Lepisosteus oculatus: one gene and its partner. The main gene of each other region encodes a partner of the protein of the gene in region 2 in a complex. Links are inferred from orthologs where the notes say so. Each region holds a gene or a part of one and is shown on either strand. Other genes may lie near its edges.

The links.
Region 1: the proteins of kifbp (region 2) and kif18a are in contact, whole or in part, in a cryo-EM structure (PDB 7RSI), measured with the Homo sapiens proteins. The link is inferred for Lepisosteus oculatus from reciprocal best matches to the Homo sapiens genes KIFBP and KIF18A. Residues at the interface, in NP_056449.1 of Homo sapiens: Ser150, Glu151, Tyr212, Tyr213, Gln216, His220, Gln238, Ile251, Asn252, Thr255, Gln258, Asn262, Gly414, Tyr415, Val459, Asp460, Leu461, Asn462, Pro463, Gln464, Leu467; in NP_112494.3 of Homo sapiens: Glu181, Thr183, Gln184, Lys185, Gly186, Arg274, Phe275, Val276, Glu277, Gly278, Thr279, Asn280, Ile281, Arg283, Ser284, Leu285, Leu288, Gly289, Val291, Ile292, Arg314, Lys317, Asp318, Gly322, Asn323.

Annotation. Positions count from the first base shown.
Region 1 is NC_090716.1:3,252,047-3,262,995, forward strand, and holds the start of kif18a (kinesin-like protein KIF18A), read right to left. Parts: upstream 5,124-10,949; 5' UTR 4,906-5,123; intron 4,823-4,905; exon of another isoform or gene 3,553-4,822; intron 3,194-3,552; 5' UTR 3,073-3,193; coding exon 2,751-3,072; intron 1,571-2,750; coding exon 1,413-1,570; intron 1-1,412.
Region 2 is NC_090699.1:30,753,049-30,763,618, reverse strand, and holds the start of kifbp (KIF-binding protein), read right to left. Parts: upstream 4,432-10,570; 5' UTR 4,368-4,431; coding exon 3,927-4,367; intron 3,308-3,926; coding exon 3,209-3,307; intron 2,548-3,208; coding exon 2,468-2,547; intron 2,137-2,467; coding exon 1,953-2,136; intron 1,183-1,952; coding exon 1,089-1,182; intron 802-1,088; coding exon 689-801; intron 284-688; coding exon 1-283. Other genes in the region: myb-related transcription factor, partner of profilin-like, read right to left, coding at 8,889-9,604, 10,421-10,570. UniProt on the Homo sapiens protein: Activator of KIF1B plus-end-directed microtubule motor activity. Required for organization of axonal microtubules, and axonal outgrowth and maintenance during peripheral and central nervous system development.

The DNA of each region.
Region 1 (10,949 bases), on a different chromosome or scaffold from region 2:
TATTTGTTAAATATGCCATTTGAACAGTGGTTTCTTGCCAGCAGCTCTTTCATTAAGTCCTTGTTTTAGAAAGCTGGCCTCCACAACAAGACCAATTTAGAATTATATGCGATCTTGTCCGCATCAGCTCAAGTAACAAAATATATCCAGAGAACGTGGTTTATTGGAGTTCATTGTCCTCCATTACTTTCATGTTAAAAAATAAAACACCTCACTGTGCTTTTGTAGCTTTTTAGGAAGAGTTTTCATGCTAAGACCCGGCTATTTAGTCATGAAGGGATATTATGTTGCATTATATCCTCAAATCCTCTGGACGAGGATTAAGAAAGTTTTGGGTTATAATCAGAGGCAGTATAAAAAAAAAAAGTGCCTCTAAGAATTTCTTTATATAGGCTCCCTCCCTGCATCAGGAGTTCTCAATCATGGGTCTGGACATCCACACACCTGTCATTTTTTGTTCCAATAGAAGTTGTCCATTACACCACTGAAATTGTAATGGACTTAATAACATCATAAAATTGAACTGTGACTGTTTTCAGGTTTTAAACTTACTTTCAAAAAATTCATTTTCTAGTTAAAATCAAACCCCAGACTCTTGGGATGGGATAAAAAAATACTTGCAAATGTTACAATCAAGCAGCTTATTAATTCAATTAAGGCTTTAATTGGGTAATTAAGCTCAGCAGGTGTGTGGGCCTCCAGGACGAGGACTGGGAACCCCTGCTTATACCTTTTACACCCTGAAACAGAACAGAATATCGCTTACTATGATAAAATAGCAACTTTCCAAACCGAGGATAGCAATTTGCATATTTTATCCTGCGCAACTACCCAAACGTCAGTTCTTAGTTTACAATGAAGGTAATTCAATTCAAGGTTAAATCAAGCTTCCCTTTTTTTGAAGGCCTAAGACAGACCTCTCCCACTGTAACAAAATTAAGCAATACAAAACAGCCTCAATGTTATCAATAATCCCCGCACAACGTTAATGTCCCATTCATCGACCCTAACAATTCAAACAAAGCAGCCACTCAAACTCATTAAAGAGACAAGGCAACTTAACAAGAATCAATTGATTTAAGTGGTGGTGGTGGAGGGGAGACCCCATTACCTGTAAAGCGCTTTGAGTGAAGTGTCCAGAAAAGCGCTATATAAGTGTAAGCAATTATTATTATTATTAAGTGGATTTAAATCAGTACAATTAGCTTTAAAAGGTGACTGTGACAGTATTGTAAGGAGCAACAATGCCTATATGTAACTATACAGTTTTAAATATCGTATATGAAAACACAAATTTCTATAAAGTACTGTGTGTAAAGCAACGACTTCAGGCATGTTTGAATTTCAGAGGAGTCTGGGACCCCCAGCCAAGGACTAAGAGAATAAACAGAAAAAATTCCATAAGCACTCACTTCCAGATAGGAGACGGCAATGTCAAAGACCTTCTCATCTTGAACCTGCTCGATACGGCTGTACAGCTCCTTCATGGTGTGGTACATAACGCCAGGGTCCTCCGCCGAGCCTAACATAGTGTGGGTCTTGCCTGCTCCGGTCGCCCCGTAGGCAAACACTGCAACATTCATGGAACACGAAGTGAAACGTCGTTTTGGTCACCAGCTTCAGTACTCTAGTCAAGTGCATCAAGTATTCATTTGCGCTGGACCACTTATAAACAGGAACCCTGCGACCTCTTACACACAATGAACAATGCTTGTCTGGTGGGAAGGGATGGTGCACCAGACCACGGCCAGCTTGCATTCCCTTTATGAACTTTGACTTGCAATGGTTTCATTCCTTCTCTTGTGCAGCCATGCGCGCCCACGCCAGATAAGACCCTTCTCACCCGATTTTCTTTTCTAAAATGAGAGGGGGGCAAGATGGCAGCATGGATGCCGAAGGACATGATGCAAGCCTCAGTGCAAGACCCCCTCTCATCACCCCTGGGAGAGAGTGAGACGGACTGGAGTGCACAGCTCGTTGACTGGCCCTGGTGACCCGAGAGTCAGCCTCCAGCGGGCAGGGGGCTCAGAGCACATTCCCCAGACACATCAAGGCCACCCTTATGCGGCTTTCAAAAAGCAACTCGGTCTGCATGCAAAATGAGAATCCCACCCTTCAGCTGCTGGATGCCCTAAAATAGTTTAAATAGTTCACACAGCAGGAAGACAATACCCCCCCACCACCTTTTAAATCCAAAACTTGATAAACAATGTGTCACTCTGATTGAAACACAGCTCCCTCCCCGCTGTTCGACTCACACCAAGGATGCACCCCGAGAGCTTCATTGAGAGGAAAAATCACAGAAACACGGAGAAACCCGTTTCTCACACACTAGACCGGGCGTTTCCCCTCAACAATTGTGGACCACAGGGCCCCAGCTCCCAGACATCCCCATCTGGACGGGACCCAAGTTTAAGCATTAAATCAGCTTGAAGCTCCTAATCATTAGAAATGATCACTATGAGAAGATTCAAAGCCGATCTTCAGATCTAGATATCGATCAATCGCTGTCTGTGCAGTTCCGCCGTGTAGCACTGTCATGTTTACACACTATCCCCACAGAGTTCGGGTTGAAAGGTCCCTCTCTGGTTTTGGGGACACCGAGCACTCCAGGGGCCGCCCCTCCCCCAGAGAGAAACATCCACACTTGACGGACGTCACGAGACACTTCTCCAGCATCGACAGGCGGACAGCTTCAAGTCAAGGCCAGCCCACGCTACAACTGGCCAGGGGGGATCTCCGAGACTCACCCGTGCAGTTATATCCATTCAGGACCCCGTCCACTATTCCTTTGGTGGAGTTCTCGAACACCTGCAGCTGGCTGGCGCCCTCCCCGAAGACGTGGTCGAAGACGAACTTGAGGTCCTTGTTGGCCTTCTTGGTGATGTCCCTGCCCGGCGCCTTCTTGTGGAAGAAGCTCACCTCCTGCTCCCTGGGGTCGAAGACCAGCATGTGGCCGTCCACCACGTGGACCACCTTCCTGAAGCCGCCCTCCCGTTCGCGCCCGCTCTCCGGCCGCACGCGCACCACCACCTTCACGTGGTTGCACACGCCGCTGTCGCCGGCGGACATGGCGCCCCCCCCCGCCCTCCGCGGTCTCTCTCCCGGCGGGTCTGGGCCGCGCAGTGGCTCTGCGGGAGCCACACAAGGAAAACCGGTACCGAGAGATCCAACGACGTACCAAGGATCAGATCTGGAAAAGACAACAACAACAACAAAACATTTCAATGCTTAAGAAATCAACTCACTTTAATATCAAGTGATCACTGCATTTGATGCAAATTAATGATAAATAGCTACTTCAAACCAATTAGTGATTTCAGCATGTTGCCTTCTTTTTCCCCTCACCACCTTGTGCCAGGTAAACCCCTACAAATATGAATTTAAGCCATTGTGACTGCTGGCATAAGTCATATCACTCTGCAGCTCCCAGCTGGCAGCCCACTGGAGCTCAGCAGGTGTGAGCCTGGTCAGTACCTGGGTGGGAGACTCCTGGGAAAGCTGAGGCTGCTACTGGAAGAGGTGTTAGTGGGGCAAGTAGGGGGCGCTCACCCTGCGGTCTGTGTGGGTCCTAATGCCCCAGTATAGTGACGGGGACACTGCACTGTAAAAAGGCGCCGTCCTTTGGATGAAATGTAAAACCGAGGTCCTGACTCTCTGTGGTTATTAAAAATTCCAGGGCGTTTCTCGGAAAGCGTAGGGGTGTCAACCCGGTGTCCTGGTCAAATTTCCCCCTGGCCTTTACCACTCATGGCCTCCTAATAACCCCCCTCTCTGAACTGGCTTCATCACTCTGCTCTCCTCCACACTGAGAGGTGATGTACGGTGAGTGTACTGGCACACTATGGCTGCCGTCACATCATCCAGGTGGGGCTGCACACTGGTGGGGGTGGAGGGGATCCCCATGACCTGTAAAGTGCTTTGAGTGGAGGGTCCAGAAAAGTCCTACACAACTGCAAGGAATTATTATAAACTGGAAAAATCAAAAGAAGTTTGCCTTCTTTTGGGGTGTAAACAGAAAACTTAAAAGACATGTTAAAATGATCCTCCAGAGAGATTTTAGGATTGATTCAAAACTTAAAGATGAGAAACTTGAGTTGTGTGGTACTCACTAAAGATCCGAAACTTCCATTTAGCCTACACACCCCCATCTTGGGGAGAGATCTGTGGCAACATTCTGTCACCGCCTATCCCAGTCACCCGCACTGAAGACGTTACACACATCTGAAAGCATCCATTTGTTTTCGTTCTGAATCACACAGGAACAGCCTGAGCAGGTTTAGCCACCCGGAAGTGGAGGCTACGACCGGAGTCTTGGGCACTGCTAGCGCCCAGCCTGATCCAGTTCTCCTCCAGCCCATTGCTGTACACGGCTAGCCTGTGAGACACGGCAGAGTTAACCGTCTCCGGCTCTACCTGGACTCGACCGACATTTTCTTTCGCTCAGCACGATTGAACGAGACCTCCCCCCCCATACCAACCATTGAAGAGCATTAGAAAACCCACCAACTTCCCCGATCAGCAAAACCACGCGAGAAAAGCGAAAGAGAATAAAAACGGTGATCGTGCAATGTGCATTAACAAGCCGGTCACCACCTCGCACCATGTTTTGACACTCTGCCATTGAATAATTCGCATTACTCAAGTATTAGGAAATTGAAGCCGAATGCACTAAAATTAAATTATCGATTTCAAAGTCGTACTTTCAGTAGGATGCAATATACACCGTGAAGTCGATTTAAACAACTTTCATAGTGCTAGAGCAACAATGAACAAGTAAACAAAAACAATTTTAGGAATCGACTTAACGGCCTGGTTAGCAGAACCCCTACGTTTAGGCCGTGCATCTTTCAAACTGTGCATGCCCAGAGCCCGACAATCCCTTTAAAAACGGATAAAACTCACCCACTTTTTTTACATCTGTTAACAAAAAGAAAACGCCTTCGACAAGTTATTTTAACTTAAAGGAGCAACCGGCCTTGTTTTAAAAAAACAAACAGAATAACTACAGTCTTCCCTAGAGCATTTCCAGTAGGCACTCGAACAACATTTTCAAATTCCAGACGCTTTACGCCCGCGGCAGCCGATTGGCTCACGGGCGGTGACGTCACGGCACACGCCCGCTGACGTCACGCGTCAGATGGCGTAGCCAGTGCATGAATGGAGTGGGGAGAAAATCTGGGAGTTTCAGCTTCTTCCTGCCGCCCCAGTTTTCAACATAGCGTGTAATGCCGCAGCTACTTGAGCAGCACGGTGTGGCTCTTCGCTGGGGGGTGGGGTTTTGGGAAAAAGTGTTATCGAATCCCCAGCCTGTCTTTGGATCAACTGTTTAATGGGAGATAATCGATCTCGTTACTAAGAAATGGGGAGGCGAATACACGCAAAGCTTTTTATTAAATTATAAAATAAAAGAAACACTCTCACCGCTCTAGATATGTAACGTGAATTACTTCCACTTCGCTAATTTTATTATTTCTATTTTGTTTTCGCTTTTAGGCGGTAGACAGACTTTTCAGTGTCATTTTGTTTGTTTAATCGTTTAAAATACCACCTTATTTTTTTTATTAAGGCATAATTCTAAAATCTGTATAATATTCCAAAGGTTTAACGCTGAACAGTACCGTACATTTACAACACCGGAACCAACGTGCCTGACCTTTGTTGTAGAGTAGAGCCCTTCTCGGTGATGTACCGAATTTGACATCACCTCTGCCGGACTCCTCACGTGTGTCTACTGACAGTGCCCACTGTGTAAGTTAACATTTTAATTTAACTACAGTGGGAGTGAGAGTTAATGCGGTATGCTGCAATTGTATGTTTTCTGTAAAAGGCTCAAATTGATACTCTCACTGCTCGATCTATAATTTAATTTTATTCATTTATAAAACACAACACCGCCCTATACAACGTTTTTATGACTGCAACAGTACGCATTTTGATTACAGCGGGTATTTAAAATGCCTAATTAATCTGATGGGGATTTTGTTTCAGAATACGGGCTAGAGTCGGATCACCCCTTCGATAAATGTGTCAGACAGCAGCATAAACCATGTTGTAAACGTTTCACCCATGAATGCCTTTTCTGACCGGGGTGTATTAACACATTTAAGCGAATATTCCAGCAGGGAGTTAGAATAGTGATGGCAGTGTGTGAGAACATGGAAATGAAATGATTATTCCATCAAAACAAAACAAAAAAACCCCGGCTCTTTCCATAGGAACGGTAGCGTCTCAACTACTCTGTATAATGGCAGTTTTAGGAGAACGTGTTACCATGTGAACTTGTGGGGGATGCAGACGGTTCGCACTTCGTTAAGGGCTCTGATTTAACATAAATCTAATGTCTGTTTCCTATTCATTCAATTGTAACCTGCGAGACCCGGTATCGCCTATGTACCCCTCTGCCCTCGGTGAAGGCCCAGCTTTCTCAGAGAATCAGTATGTGATCTGGTGGCGCGTCTAATAGTACTGCTTACACAACCAGCTTTACAATGGCTGTACTATCCCCTTGGTGGCGTTGCTTCGGTTTACAGCTAAAGGCAAGGGATGAGAGAGCTAGTCTGTATCACACATCGGTGTTGTCCAACTATTATTAGTTAAGACACCGGCATATAATTGGAAAGCAGCAATACGTGGTGCTCATGGCCCGTGTTCTGTGCTGGCGTTAAGCCGTTTCTACCTGAACACTTTGTTAATTTCAAGTAGGTTAAATTCAAGTTCAGGTAGGTAACGTGACCCCCAGAAAGAAGGCTCCACAGCCGAAACGTTGTCTTCCTTTTTCTTTGCAGCATGAAATAAACCTTTACTTGTCGCTTTGTTAAATTGATTACTTTTTCAGTAGAATTAAAGGTGTCTGATTGTTCTGTCGATGAGGAGAAACTGCACACACCTGCTTTTTAGGGTGCACTCATGAAAAAGGCAGACCTCACCCCACAACAGCCAGGAAGCACTGACCCAGCAGCGATCAAAGAAGAAGAGCCTGATGCAATAAAGACTCGAATAATGGGGTGTAGGTTGCAGTTCACACTCCTGTCATAAGAAGTGAAATCAGGAGGCCTCCCAGCTGTCAGATAGATAAAGGCAGGTTTGCCAGCTGCTGTTTTCTAAACCTAATACCGAACGTAGCTCTTAGGACTATTTTGATTTCTCATCCTCAGCCCAAACTCTGAATGCGGACTCGTCGTAGCTTTTTTTTAAGCGCTGCTGGGGGTTTCTAAGCGAAGACGGCGTAAGACGGGAGGTGGGAGCAGAGAGATAATTACAAGACACGTGTCTGCAAGCATACGTCTATAAACAGAAGACAGATGTTGCAGTAAATTCCTGTTAATCTGTAAACCCCCAATACTAATTAAAGCACCCGGAATACCTCACAAAACAGCTTGAGTCTGATAAACGAAACAGTTTTGGGCTGCTCTTTCCAGAACTTTCTCTCCCCCCCCCTTAAAGTGAAGTCCCGCATCTGATTAAATAATTCTCCAGCGTCCGCGGGAGATGGGCACAATCTTGTTTTCATTTGCAGGAAGAAAGGTCAAGGAACGGGGGGAAGTTACTTTATCGATATGGAATCTGGAGGCTTTGCCCTTTGTTTCTTTCTGTTTTGCAGCTGTGTATACATTCTAAAACAAAAACATTTCCTACAATATAAATTGCATAGATTGAGACGGGTATGAGGCAGGACCTGAGTGCCAGGTCTGGTGGTTTCTTTTCCAGCTTATGACCCTGAAGTACGAGTGGAACCGCTAACTGGCTCAGTTTGACAGCACTAACACGATCCCTTGCAAATGACTGAAGAAAGACGAAGGACTGGATGACAGACCCGTAAATTCAGTGAGGGGGGTTTGGCGAATGCACCCGCTGTTAACAGAACTGGATACACCTAGCAAACAATTCTTTATCAGCGGCGTGCATCTTTCCGGTTTTTGCGGTTAAAACAATCCAATTTCTTGTCCCACACGACTTGGAGAGGGAAAGCGTCCAAAAGCCCATCAGACGCTAGATGCAAGGGCTGTAACTGTTGACAAATGACAGGCGCCTATGCGTGGATAGCGCACAACATTCAAGCATCTAACAGTCCCTCGTATTTGTGTTGGTGTAATTAAACACTGAGAAAAAAATGACTTTGGCTCCGAGACTAAGCATTTTTTTTTCGTCTTCAAAGATCAAAAGGAGACGTTCGTCTCAATTCTGCCACGGTTTATATTAGCCCTGCCTGTGTTTCGTCAGATGGGAGTAATTTGGACTTTATTTAGCTTCTTTCGAATGGGAAATGAAACAGGCCGTCTCAGTATAATGGTGCACATTAAACATGTGCTTATTTTAGGTAGGCTCGTTTTGTGTTTGGATCTTTAACAAAAAAGTCAGATATTTTTTTTAACATCTGGATCACATTCTCTCGTTTACTTTAAATACATTTGGGGTTGATTGTCCCTTGTTTAAGAGATGCAATGTTGGAGTACAGGAGCCAGGAGGGTGTGGGTAGTTCTCTCCCATCTGCAGGAGGTGTATAAAGGATACAAAAGCATTTATAAATAAGATAGATTGGCAGCCATATCGCAGGTGTGAGCCTGGTCAGTACCTGGATGGGAGACCTCCTGGGAAAAAAACTAAGGTTGCTGCTGGAAGAGGTGTTAGTGGGGCCAGCAGGGGGTGCTCACCCTGTGATCTGTGTGGGTCCTAATGCCCCAATATAGTGATGGGGACACTATACTGTAAACAGGCACTGTCCTTTGGATGAGACGTAAAACTGAGGTCCTGACACTCTCTGGTTATTAAAAATCCCAGGGTGTTTCTCGAAAAGAGTAGGGGTGTAACCCCGGTGTCCTGACCAAATTTACCATTGGCTCTTACCAATCATGGCTTCCTAATAATCCCCATCTATGAATTGGCTTCATTACTGTGCTCTCCTCCCAACTCCTCCTCCTCCCATTACCTCTAAAGCGCTTTGAGTGGAGTGTCCAGATAAGCGCTATATAAGTGTAAGCAATTATTATTATTATTATTATTATTATTATTATTATTATTATTATTATTAGATAACTTTATTAATCTCGTGAGGGAAATTGCAGAAGACAGGAAAACAGAGCGAAAAAGCTTTTGTGAGTTTTTTTTACCAATGCATTTAATCAGGTGATAGTGTTGTCTTAAACTGAAACTAGGACCTGTCTGAAACTCTCCAATCAAGTGAACCCCCAGTTCGTCTTTCCTTGACTGAAATAATGGAGCCCAGTTCCTGGGTGACTGGTGGAATGGAAGGTGGAGTCTAACTGGACTCCCCAAGCATCTGTCTGGATTTTCCTGAGTTTTTTCACATGAGGAGTATTTTTCAGCAGGAGACTTCTCGGTAAAGGGGACAGATCAGGCATCGGATAACTGTAAAGCCTTGGTTGAAGCTGCAGTTTTCTTTCTCTTGAGACGTTGAATCAGCTTTCTTGTTAAAGTTAGGAAGTGAATGCTTGCAAATAGGTAAAGATAGTGACTAGGTTTGATAAGTCCAGTCTTGCATCGACAGAGTTGGTCACACACTTGACTGTGGCTCATTCTCATGTCTTTAAATTTGGTGAATTCATTATTCTGCAGAGGAGGAAAGCATTACATACTTTGTACTGTAATAATGTTAAGCAACAGGTGTCCCTGGGGTTATGTGTAGTCTTGGGGTATCTCCCTGTTGAACAGCTTAGTCCAGGTGCTGTTATTTTCCTGTGAGGCAACAAATCCCTTAGGGGCCATGCGTCCTAATATTTGCGCCTATCGGGGGGGGGTTACACACAGTATGTGGGTGGGAGAGGGGCGCCGTGGCTTCTCAGAAACTGCTGCCCCGACAAATTCTAACACACCGTCTGAAGCAATTGTTTCCAGGTCCTTGCATTTGTCATCTCCGCGTACAAGAAAAATGCAAAAGATTTCGTCCCTATTACAATAAACCCATTTAGAAGTAAATCCAAGAATTCCAGCGCTGTGGTGATTTATTGAACTCTAATAAAGGATGTGCATGATGAAACTATCGGGATGACAGCACTGACTTTTCTAATTTGGTAAAGGACAAATTTGACTAGCGGACTAAATATTTCATAAGACAGCTTGTTAACAATGGTCTGGTTGGTCTGCCCTTAAATACTGGCTTTCAAGAAATCCTTTGCGCATACTTTTACGTCTCTGAGTATTTGACTTGTTTTATTGTGAACGTGTAGGCCTAATCATTTCCCCCCCCCCCCTGTAAGACAAATGAGAGAATGCAAGAGTCAGGGAAATTGGTACAGCCGCGCAGACACTTAACAGGCTGCGCTGATTGGCCAACGAGAGGTTGCCATGCAAACGAAGAAGAGGTCTATATTTTTTTTTTCTTCAAAGTAAGACTCTGTTATTAATGCGAAAGTTATGCAAAATCATTTGGTAGGGCTTCAGTCGTGAAACAGGTGCTAAAGAATGTGTCATCTGTTTGTGACTAAATCCTATCCACCCTCAAACGCACACTGTTCTTCTGCAAAAAGAACAATTTATATATATATAGATATAAGCTACGTCAGGAGCTATGTTAGTAAGCCCAACCGTTTCAGTGTCACTGTATTCTTTCTATGTAGGGGCTGTGCTGAGATCTAGTCAGAAGAGTTATGTTTAGCTGGAGCATCAGAAGGCCACCTGAGTACAGGGATCTCATGTGTATATTCTTTCACCAGCATTGTTTTTGTCCAATGCTCTTGTCTTTCTCCTGTATTTCCTGCGGTGTATATTCTCCCCTATAATGTGCATCCTTCAAGTTCCTGCATTTAAAGAAACAGTCCTCTCCAATACAACGCTGCTGTTTTGTTTATATGTAAGAATGATGGTGGTAACTGACAATGATGGATTAACAAAACAACAGGGAATCAGAAAGTACCAGTTTTTGTAATGCAGAAGACTTCTACAGTGGCACTGTGGTTGCTGTGAAGTGAAAAGTATGAAAGGCAAATAAT
Region 2 (10,570 bases):
CTTGCACCACCTCGATGTGGTCCGTGACGTGGCCATCCATCTGGAAGTATTCTTTGGCCTCGGTCACGTAGTTCTGCCCCACCAGGAAGATGGCCCGGGCTTCCTCGAAATCCAGAGGGTAGGCGCAACTCACCTTCTCCTCCAGGGCCAAAATGGAATCGAAGATGTCCCTGGAGCCAAACAAGATGGCGCTCTTCAGGCCTTTCTCCTCCTCCTCGTCCTCCTGCCGGCGGCGCGCTTTCAGTTCCGCCTGACGCTCCACATCCAGCTCGCCAATATTATCCTGCAGTAAACCCACCAGAAGAGGGAAGTTCATTTAAAAAAACTTCTCCTATAAGTGACGGGAAAGCACTGCAAACTCATCTTTTGTTACAGTTCCGATTTTGTTCCCTATTGCTTCTAAAATAAGTGGATCCTTCTTTCTACACCAAGGTCAGACAAACAATTGAGACCACAGGATTTGCAGGCAGTATATTCACTGCCAGGGAAAGAAAGTAAGTTTCACATGTGCCTGCCATCTGAAGGTACCCATACAGAATCTCTTGCAGAAGGAAACTAAAGGAACAGGCACACAGCTTGCGAGTGCAATAATACAAAGTAATGGAAAACCACAGATGGTGTTTAACAAAAAGGCAACCAAAAGTGGACAGAAATGTACACTCAACAATTAAAAAAAATAAAGCTCTACCTCTAGGAGTTTTTTGGCATCCTGCAGAAGATTCAAGCAGTATTTTATCCAGCACCGGGCTATTTCAGCTCTCTTCTGACGAAGCTGCTCCCTCTTTTCACCCTCTGCCTCGTCTAGACCAAGAAAGACATGGTACACCTTGGTAAATGTACTATTTGGTAAATGTACTACTAACTCCAACGTCTTAGATTTCAATCAACAGAATGTGAAAACTTGCTCTGTCTCCAACACAAAGCAAAGGTTCATTTATGCCTCCCCATCTTTCCCCGTTTCTCATTTTTACTTTGAAACAATTCCGCAGATGTCTGGCTCATGAATACAATCCCATTCACTTTCACAACTTCAGTTCCTCCCTACCGGCCATGAGGACAAACCCCCAGTGCCCCGGGGTGACACTTACTCTCCTGCGCTGCTGCTTCTGACGGCACCTCGCCTGCCAGGCCTGCAACCACAACAGCCGCAGCTAAGCAGTGCCTTCCCTCCATATAACGAGACTAACGGAGAGAAAGAAGAAAGAAAATTAGTTCTTTCAGTTGGGGTTAAGGGCCTTGCTCAGGGGCCCAACGGAGTAGGATTCCTCTGCCGGCCGCAGGATTTGAACTGGCAACCTTCCAGCCACAGGCCCAGATCCTTAGCCACAGTGCCACCTCACCGCCTGTTCACATTGTTCCGCTGAAGTCTACTATGTGACTTTGAAACAGCCACAGTGATGCTGCAAGAGAAGTAGGTCTTATGTTGATGATATCAGACCACTGCCTGCAGAGCCCACTGGGATTAACTTCATAAACCGTAGGAGTGTGTGCAACACCCCAGTCATGTTTAGAGGGGGTCTATTAAGGACAATAATAGAAATTAATGGAAACCAGCCAGTTCTCAGAAATTTAAGATTTAAGGCAATCTACTTTATTATACTTTAAATTTTGAAAAAAAAAAGACAGTATAAGAAGGAGAATTGTATTTGCTGATGGGTAGAAAAGTAAGTCAAGAAATACTCCAACTTTTCTGACCAGAGAACACTGATCTAAAAAAAAAAGACCACACTGAGTTTAAAACAAAACTGGCAAAGTTACTGTATAATTCTAACCAAAGTTACAGAGCAACCGTGAACCTCAGGGACAAAGCTGGAGTAAGGCTGAGCATCACATCTGCAATAAACAACACTTTCTGCAACACTCTGGACTAGCACGTACGAGTCAAAGCTTCAGTCCCACTGCATTGCGTGTCTTGGGCAGAAAGCACCAGCCTGCCCTGAGCTGACTCTTACCTTAGTAATGTAATACTGGGACAATGTTGCAGCATTGATGGCCCATTCTAGAGGAACAAAGTGGTTAAACTCCAGCTGCCTCTGAAGAGTGGTGTGGCAGTACCGGCCAGCTTTTTCGTACTGTTCCAGGTTCTTGTAGACTTGAGCCAAGTAATACAATGTGTAAGTGTGAGCCATTTCAAATCTGTCCAGCATAACAAAAGAGATGCATGTTTTAGTTTTATTTCCTTTGCATTTTGCGGACAAAGAAAAGGCTTTAGCAGTTGTCCCTAACATGTCCAAACACCACTACCAGTGGCAAAGCTTCTAGATTTACCTTGGGCACATGTTTACAGAAAGATAATGCTGTGACAAGATTAACTGCACAACAAGGCCAATATTATATAACGAGACTGACACAATCATGTCTGTCACATGATTTATAACTTACATTAAGAAACTACTTACCTTTCTAGTAAAATGTCAGTAATATAAGAAAACTCAGTTTAATGCTTACTTTTAATCCGAGTAACTACCTTTTTGTTCTTTCTTGGTCCAATACACTTTCCCCTTCTGTCACAAAGAAGTCACTGAGATCCATTGGGGGCTGTCCATCCTGTTTGGAAAAAACAGGTCTTTCTAGCTTAAATCAGTTTAAAAGCAAGCATTCTGGCAGGGCCGCTGCTTTGAATTTGGAGAAGAAGGGGACTGCATGTTCACAAACAAAACCACTATTACTTGGAAGAGTTTCCTTATGACCATTTGATCCAAGGGATTTGTTCCTCTCATTTACAGTAAATCAGAGATTGTGCAACACGAACCTATTAACATTCTGTAGCTCTAAGGATCACTCTTGACCATTCTGGACTTAAACTGCGCATTGTACAGAATTAATTAAAGCTCACAAACTGATGATTTTGGCTGGCCTGTAATACACACTAGACTGTTTGCCCCTAGGACCAAGGTTGGCTACCCCTGAGGTGTACGACATCACCATACTGTATATTTCTAGGAAATTATTCAACAACCCTAAAAATACCTGACAGATCAATATCACAATACTTAATATCTCAGGAACGATATTTCTGCATGAATGAAAAGTCTGTAATAATATGTCAAGTATAAATGCACGCAGGCAATCGCTTCCTGTTCAGAGCAACTATACGCCTTCTAATGTAAACGAACATGTACCGGCTTGATTAAGGTAGTGTAACGTTGTCTGATTCGCAAGGCAGTAAACTGTAATCACAAACCACAGGAATACATAACTAACTTACCTGTTTCATGTACTGAATGTACAGAGACTCTGCAGTTTCCAGAAAACCCTGCGCCTTCTCAGTTTCATCTCGTCCAGCCCACAGAATACCCAACTGATTCTACAGAAAGAATGAAGACATTTTCCTCTCAGCCACCTGTCTTAAATCCACTCCTTTATTCACTTCCAAAATAAACGAAATGAAGTGTCGCATTGGACCATTCGTTTCCTCTACAAAACGTATACAGTTCCCCAAAAGATAGAAATTTAACATGAAGGATTACCTGTCAATTACCGTTAATGTTTTATTAACATTATACATTTCTCTTAGATTTGGGGACAGAAATATATGACATCAGATACTACAAAACCGGTTGCTACAGGCTAAAAGCGTTATAGTTTTGCCTTAGAATAACTGTCGGTTGTATAAAAATAAAATGTAATTAAAATAACGTGTGCATAAAAAAGGTATCGTTAACATAATGAGATATTTCAGGTGGGTAGCTGCGTCAGCATGCGTAGTCTGCAAAGGAAAAAAGTAATAGGTTTATTCCATGCTGAAAAAAAGAAGAAAAAACACAACGTTTCGGCCGTGGAGCCTTCTCACACCTGAAGAAGGCTCCACGGCCGAAACGTTGTTTTCTTTCTTCTTTTTCTCAGCATGGAATAAACCTATTACTTTTTCTAATGTGATATGGTGTGCAGTTTTTTCACAATGGAACGTGGCAACAATACAATACCCTGGTCTGTATGTTTATAGAGATGTTTTCCCGTGACATGCTGTATTTATCCAGCAGTTTGAGGCAGTTCATCAGATGTTCCTCTCCAGCGGAAAGTTCTTCAGTCTCCACATGGTTTACCCCTAGAAGGTGCTCGATCACTCCGAGTTTTGCTGCCCTGAGGGCGGCTGGCGAGCCCCCGACACAACCGCTCCCACATCCCTCTGAGTCTGAACCCTCAAGAATCTGATCCTTCTGGGGCTGGTCGCTTTCCCCGTCATCCTCCCCGATATACTGGTTCCTCAGGGTACAGATGATCTCCTTCAGAAGCTCCCTGGCTTTGTACTTGGAGCGAAAAGGGTCAGTCTCCGGGTCCTTCCTGGATTCTACCTCAGAAAGAGTAACGACGCGGCTGTATTTTTCACATAGGGAGCTCAACTCTGATGTTGCAGAAGCAGCCATCTTACCAGAGCAAGCGCACTTTGAAAAGCTCTCAACTCTCTACACTCCCCTTTCCCCTGCGGCGCAAACAAGTGACATCATTAAACGGCGCCGATGAAATCCTTACACATTCTGCCCAGCCCAGAGCCCAGAGTTATACGGGGGCGGGGTGGTGTGGAGCTGTTGAACATCATGAGCTGGCATCGAGTTTGTTAAAATATATAATATTTCTATTACTTTTTATCAATATTTCGCTGTAATTACCGCGATTCCTAGGAAAATATTGACTTTTTAAAGGAGTTGCAATAGTAGTCCAAAATTCAGCAGCCAGAATCCTGACCAGGTCTAGTGCAAGTGTTCACATTACTCCTATCCTGGAGTTCTTGCACTGGCTTCCGGTCAAATTCCGCGTAGACTTTAAAATCCTCATGCTCACCTATAAGGCTTTACATGGCTTGGCACCTCAATACTTGTCTGAACTATTATCGCCCTACTCCCCACCTCGCAACCTCCGCTCTTCAAATTCTGCCCTCCTTACTGTCCCCCAAGCCCGTCTACATTGTATGGGCGACAGGGCCTTCTCCTGCTATGCCCCCAAGCTCTGGAACTCTTTGTCAAAGGATATTAGAGAGTCACCTTTTCTAAACTCCTTCAAATCCAGACTCAAAACCTTCTTCTTCAGAAAAGCCTTAACTTAACTGGTTCCATTCTTCACCCCTCTGCTCTTCTTAGTACCACCTTCCACAGTCTCCTCTATTTTTATTGTTGTATTGTTGTAATTGTAATTGTGTCTTATCTTGTGAAATCTTATTTATTGTTGCATTCTTCTTATTTATTGTTATTGTCATCCTGTAAAGCGCTTTGAGAAGCCACTTTTAAAGGCGCTATATAAAATCAAGTTTATTATTATATTATTAGAGACGCTGGAAGAATTTACAGGTCGCATCAGACTACAAAAGGAAAAGACATTTTGAGTTGTGGATGTAATAACATTTTTAAGATCTCTGTTGCAAAATGATAATATCCTCGCTGTTACATTATATTGGAATTCCTCATTTTGAAAATGGGTTGATTGGAAAAAAATGTGGATGATGCCCAATAAATCTTAAATAACTAATAAGGTTAAGGAGGTTTCATACAAAATAATTAATTGAATTTACCCAGCTAAGACCCTTGTTGTCCAGAGATTTAAAATTAATACAGACGATAAATTTGTTTTTTTGTGACAGTAGCCCTGAAACTGTTCATCATTTATTTAAATTATGTCCCATGGTTGAGATCTGACTCATACAGTATATTACCTCTTTCAGTTTAATACCACCCAGCTGATATTTGTATTTCACACTCGCTGTTACATATTTTGTGCGTATCCGCATTTCATGTCATGTGTCGGGCCAGTTCCGGGTTTTGCCTACATCTCCTACTGTGCTCCTACTGTTACATTATCTTCATTATTACGGCTACTGACTCTACTAGAGTCTGAATCTTTGATAGACGTTAAGAACAGCATCGCTGCTGGAAATAAACTCTATAGTACCCAGCAATGACTTCACTATAGTCTCTGCTACCCCCTCTTATCATATCCTTGATGAGTTTAGCAACTACACACCGTGTTCAATTAAACTAGGATGAAATCTTTGATTAATGCAATTTGGTGGCATTATAACCAGAACATTAGCCATTAGGCTTCATATTCCAATAAATACCACTAGGGGGAGAAGTACAAAACATTATCTTGAGAATTTACAATGTGAAGGCAGTTTTGTTACTATATTTGTTACAGTGTTACTATACATTATAAGTAATTAAGTGGAAAATTAATTTACCTTTTGCCATATTTTCCAGAAAAAAAACTTAAAAGTTATTTTCTTAGACCCTGTGTGGTCTCCATTGTTTAATACGCTATTTAAATATTATATTAAAATATGGTGTAAAATGTACACATGAAAAAATCTACTAATACTGTTCTAAATGAAACTGATATGTTAAATAAAATTCCAATTGCATTAGACGTTCTTTTGATTACCTGCATCTATACAGACATTTCTTACCAACATATCTAAAAGTGCTTTAACGTTCTTATCGGAGCATACTTCATTACTGAAGGCATCTCACAAATAGCAGCCCACTGAAGTTAAGCAGGTGTGAGCCTGGTCATTACCTGGATAGGAGACCTCCTGGGAAAAACTAAGGTTTCTGCTGGAAGAGGTGTTAGTGGACCCAGCAGGGGGCGCTCACCCTGCAATCTGTGTGGTTCCTAATGCCCCAGTATAGTGAAAAGGACGCTATAAAAGTTGCCATTTTCGGATGAGATGGAACTGAGGTCCTGACACTGTCATTAAAAATCCCAGGGTGTTTCTTGAAAAGAGAAGGGGTATAACCCCAGTGTCTTGGCCAAATTTCCCATTTGCCTCCTAATTATCCCCACCTGAATATGAACTGGCTTCATCATTCTGTTCTGATGTGTGGTGAGCGTTCTGGCACACTATGGCTGTTGTTGCATCATGCAGGTGGGGCTGCACATCAGTGGTGGTGGAGGGGAAACCCCATTACCTCTAAAGCGTTTTGAGTGGAGTGTTGCAGATCAGACAGAAATCAGATATTACCTCACCGGTTGAATTTTAGGTGGAAATTTAAGCAGGTCTGATTGTTCAAATTCAAAATGCAATTTAGCCAGGGTGTTAGGGTAAAACTAAAACTTATGGGACCTTTAATCATCTATAAGTCAGGACATTAACTTAATGGCACATCCCACAGGACAGTGCCCTGTCATTTTCCTGGAGCACTGCATTTTGGTAAATGTGGTCCAGAGGGATGGGGAGCACTGTGGCACAGAGTTAGCATTGCTACCTCACAATGCTGGGGCCCTGGGCCCAATTCTGGATGGGTGCTGAGAGCATGGAGTTTGTACTGTGTGTTTATCCCAAGTCCAAAAACATACTGATAGCTTAATTGTCATCTGGGAAAATTGGCCCTGGTGTGTCTGTGTGTGCTCTGTGATGGACTGGCATACCATTCCCACCTTGTGAAAGTTGCTTGCTGGGATAGGCTCTGGCTTTCCCATGACCCTAAATTGTATGAAGTGGTAAGAAACGGATAGATGGCCCAGAGGGGAAAGATCAACTTCCTGGTCCTCACATACAGTAGCAGCCTGGCTTTCCTTGAGGTTTCCTCCCCCAGTACTGACCAAGCCCATCCTTGTTTAGTTTGGCATTGCTGCTTGTTTTATCACGAAAAACAACAGACAATTAATTACAATACCAATTATAATGCGTCATTTTGAAAAAAATGTCAATTTTTAATTTCTGAATTCATTTATTCTTAAGAACTTGTTATAAAAATATTTACAAGTAATGAAATTAGTAGACTATAAACATCTACATATATATGTCCATGAGATCATGAAAATACTGTTTATTTATAATTCTCTAATTGATCAACATGGTGATTGAAGAAAATTGCAATTTTCTTAATGTCGTTCATACCGTATATTGACTGGCCTTACAACAGTTACACTGGATATGGATGGGAACTTTGAACCAAAAAATATCATTTTATGTCTTTTACTTGAATGACAACATTGTTCCTTAAAGTTGTTACACAACATAATCCATAAGGTCTATTATTGTTATCTGGATATACCATATTGCATATACTGTACTGTATTGACAAATGTTACCAACAGGTCCTGAGCCATAACAACTGCTGGAAGAAGTGGACCTACTCACTACTGCACAGTTAATCCACAGATGAAGCATGAACACATGAACTCCTGTTCTTACTTCTTACCTTATCTTCTGGTCCCATTATTAAGCACATAGAAAGTGACACATTTTATATTTTGGTAAAAGTAAAATCTTGCATTTCTTTTCCTTTCTTCCAAACCATGGAAATAAGTGCCAAACAGACTACAAAAAGCGCAAAATGTCAGTGCAGCAGCAGAAAGGCTTTTAAATAATCAGGAGGTCTATGATAAATCTTACATAAACACATACCTATTAAGTTACTTTATGCATCAAACTTAAAAATATTTTCAAAAATGTGAAAAGCATGCATGCTTCACTTTATAGTAAAGTTTTATGACTGTACTACGTGAATTATTCATTAGCTGGGTTTATTGAGTATAGTCATTTTAAACCATGTAAAGAAGTTTAAGAGATCTGTATGGAAGCTTCCTAAAAAAGAAAACTATTTCTTATATTTTTAAGCTTTTTTTCTCTAAACAGCTAGCTGAAATATCCTAAAGCAATGCTTTTATAAATTACAGCTAAGGGTGATAAACTGGATTAGGCTGTCCTTCCCACATCTAGCCAAACATCCTTCCAATAAATACCTTTTCATTGAAAAAACAACAAAGATGTGACTTTTCAAAACTGGGAAATAACAGTGGAGGGGCTGGAGGTTCTAGTGTATTAAAGCCTGGCTCAAAAACTCATAAGTTACGGTCCCTAAAATACAGAGAAGGATTTTCTCCAACACAAGAAACAAGGTAACATGATGACTAACATATATGTGGAGTAAACTGCTACTCCATTAGTTCAATCACATTGTTTCCTCTCTGCGTGCAGTGTTCTCCTGCTCCACAATGGAGGAAGTGGGCACAGGGGCCTTCACAGCACTGGGCACCACGAAGACGGAGCGCTCCTGCTGGGATGCCAGCAGGTCGATCACCCTGTCCTGGAGACAGTTGGTGGCGTCGATGCTCTCCGTGATCTTGTGATGGATGCCCACGAGCTCCTCGGCCAGGTCCGACACGCTCTCGTTCTTTTCCGCGAGGCAGGAGGCAATGCGGGCGATGTTCTTGTTGGTTTCGCACATCTCCCTGTAGATCAGTCTGTTCTGCCTGGTGAGGGTGCGGAAGCCGTCCTTGAGAGCGGCGGTGTGCTCCCGGTGAGCCCTCAGGAGCTGCTGCTCGAAGGACCCCAGTGGCACAGTCTTGTTACAGCTCATCCCACTCCAGGCTTTCAAATGCCCCCTCAGTGCAGGATAGGAGCCCTGCGCTGTCCCTCTGGCAGGAGAGCCCTCGCTTGCTGCAGGTTCTACTTTGTTCCGACGTGAAAAAGTGCTGCTTCCTTCTGGTGAAATTTCTTGGTTTCCAAATGGGCTGGAGCTGGACTGCTCTGCGTAGGTGTGTGGGGGCGTCTGAAGGGCACCTGAAGGGTCTTGACAGGTATGAGTCTGTAAGCCCGAAGCCTTCTGTTCTGAAGATTCTTCTTCATAGTATTCTGAGGAGCCAGTGTCTCTAGCATGACAAGTCTCTAAAAATACAGAATGCAATAAACAAGTTACAAAAGCCTTGTAAAATATAAAATGATGATTTATTGTTATCACATAGTTTGGGAAGTAACAGCAGTTATCCTTGTACAACAACATGATGCACAGCGTTACTGCAAGTAAAAAAACTACACATCCTAAACTGATGTAATAAAAAAATCTGTAGACCAATAAACCCTTATGCGAGCGGCACAGTGTTAGCATTGCTGCCCCACAGTTCATGGGCCCTGGGACCAATTGCTGGGGTGCTATCTGGGCGGAGTTTAAATATTCTCCCCATGTTCTTATGGGTTTCCTCCCACAGTTCAAAGATATGCTGGCAGGTTAACAGGCTTCTGGGAAATTGGGCACCGGTATGAGTGTGTGTGTGTCTGTGCGTGCCCTGTGATGAACTGCCGTCCTGTCCAGGGTGTATCCTGTCTTGCGCCCGTTTCTTGCCAGATTAGGCTCTGGCTCCCCTCACGACTCCTTACTGGATAAAGCAGTGTAGAAAATGGATGTATAAATAAACCATTATGCACTGAGGGAAAAAAAAAAACTTTAGCACCACAACACAGACAGGCACACAGAGAGAAAGGAATCAGTTTTATAAGGCAGCAGTTTTAACGGGCAATCGGTTTTAACTATAAGCAGTTATAGTTAGGAAAACTAACTACAGTTAAACCTCCTCCAGCTAAAAACTGGCTCTCTCTCTCAAATATCGAGCAAGGAAATTTGTATTTAGAGGTGCTGATATTTTTTTTTGGTAATTCAAGTTAGTAGGGTTTTTTTTACACTCGGTGACTATAGTTTAAGGTTACCTTCCTGAAGAGGTGGCTGTGCGATATCTTCTTGTTTCACAATGGTGTGGATATTGAGAGAGCCGTACACTTTCTGTTCCATGGCTGTGAGGTACAAAGATGAGGTGGGGCTGTTCCTGGCAATGTGAAGCTTTGCGTCTTCAACTTTCT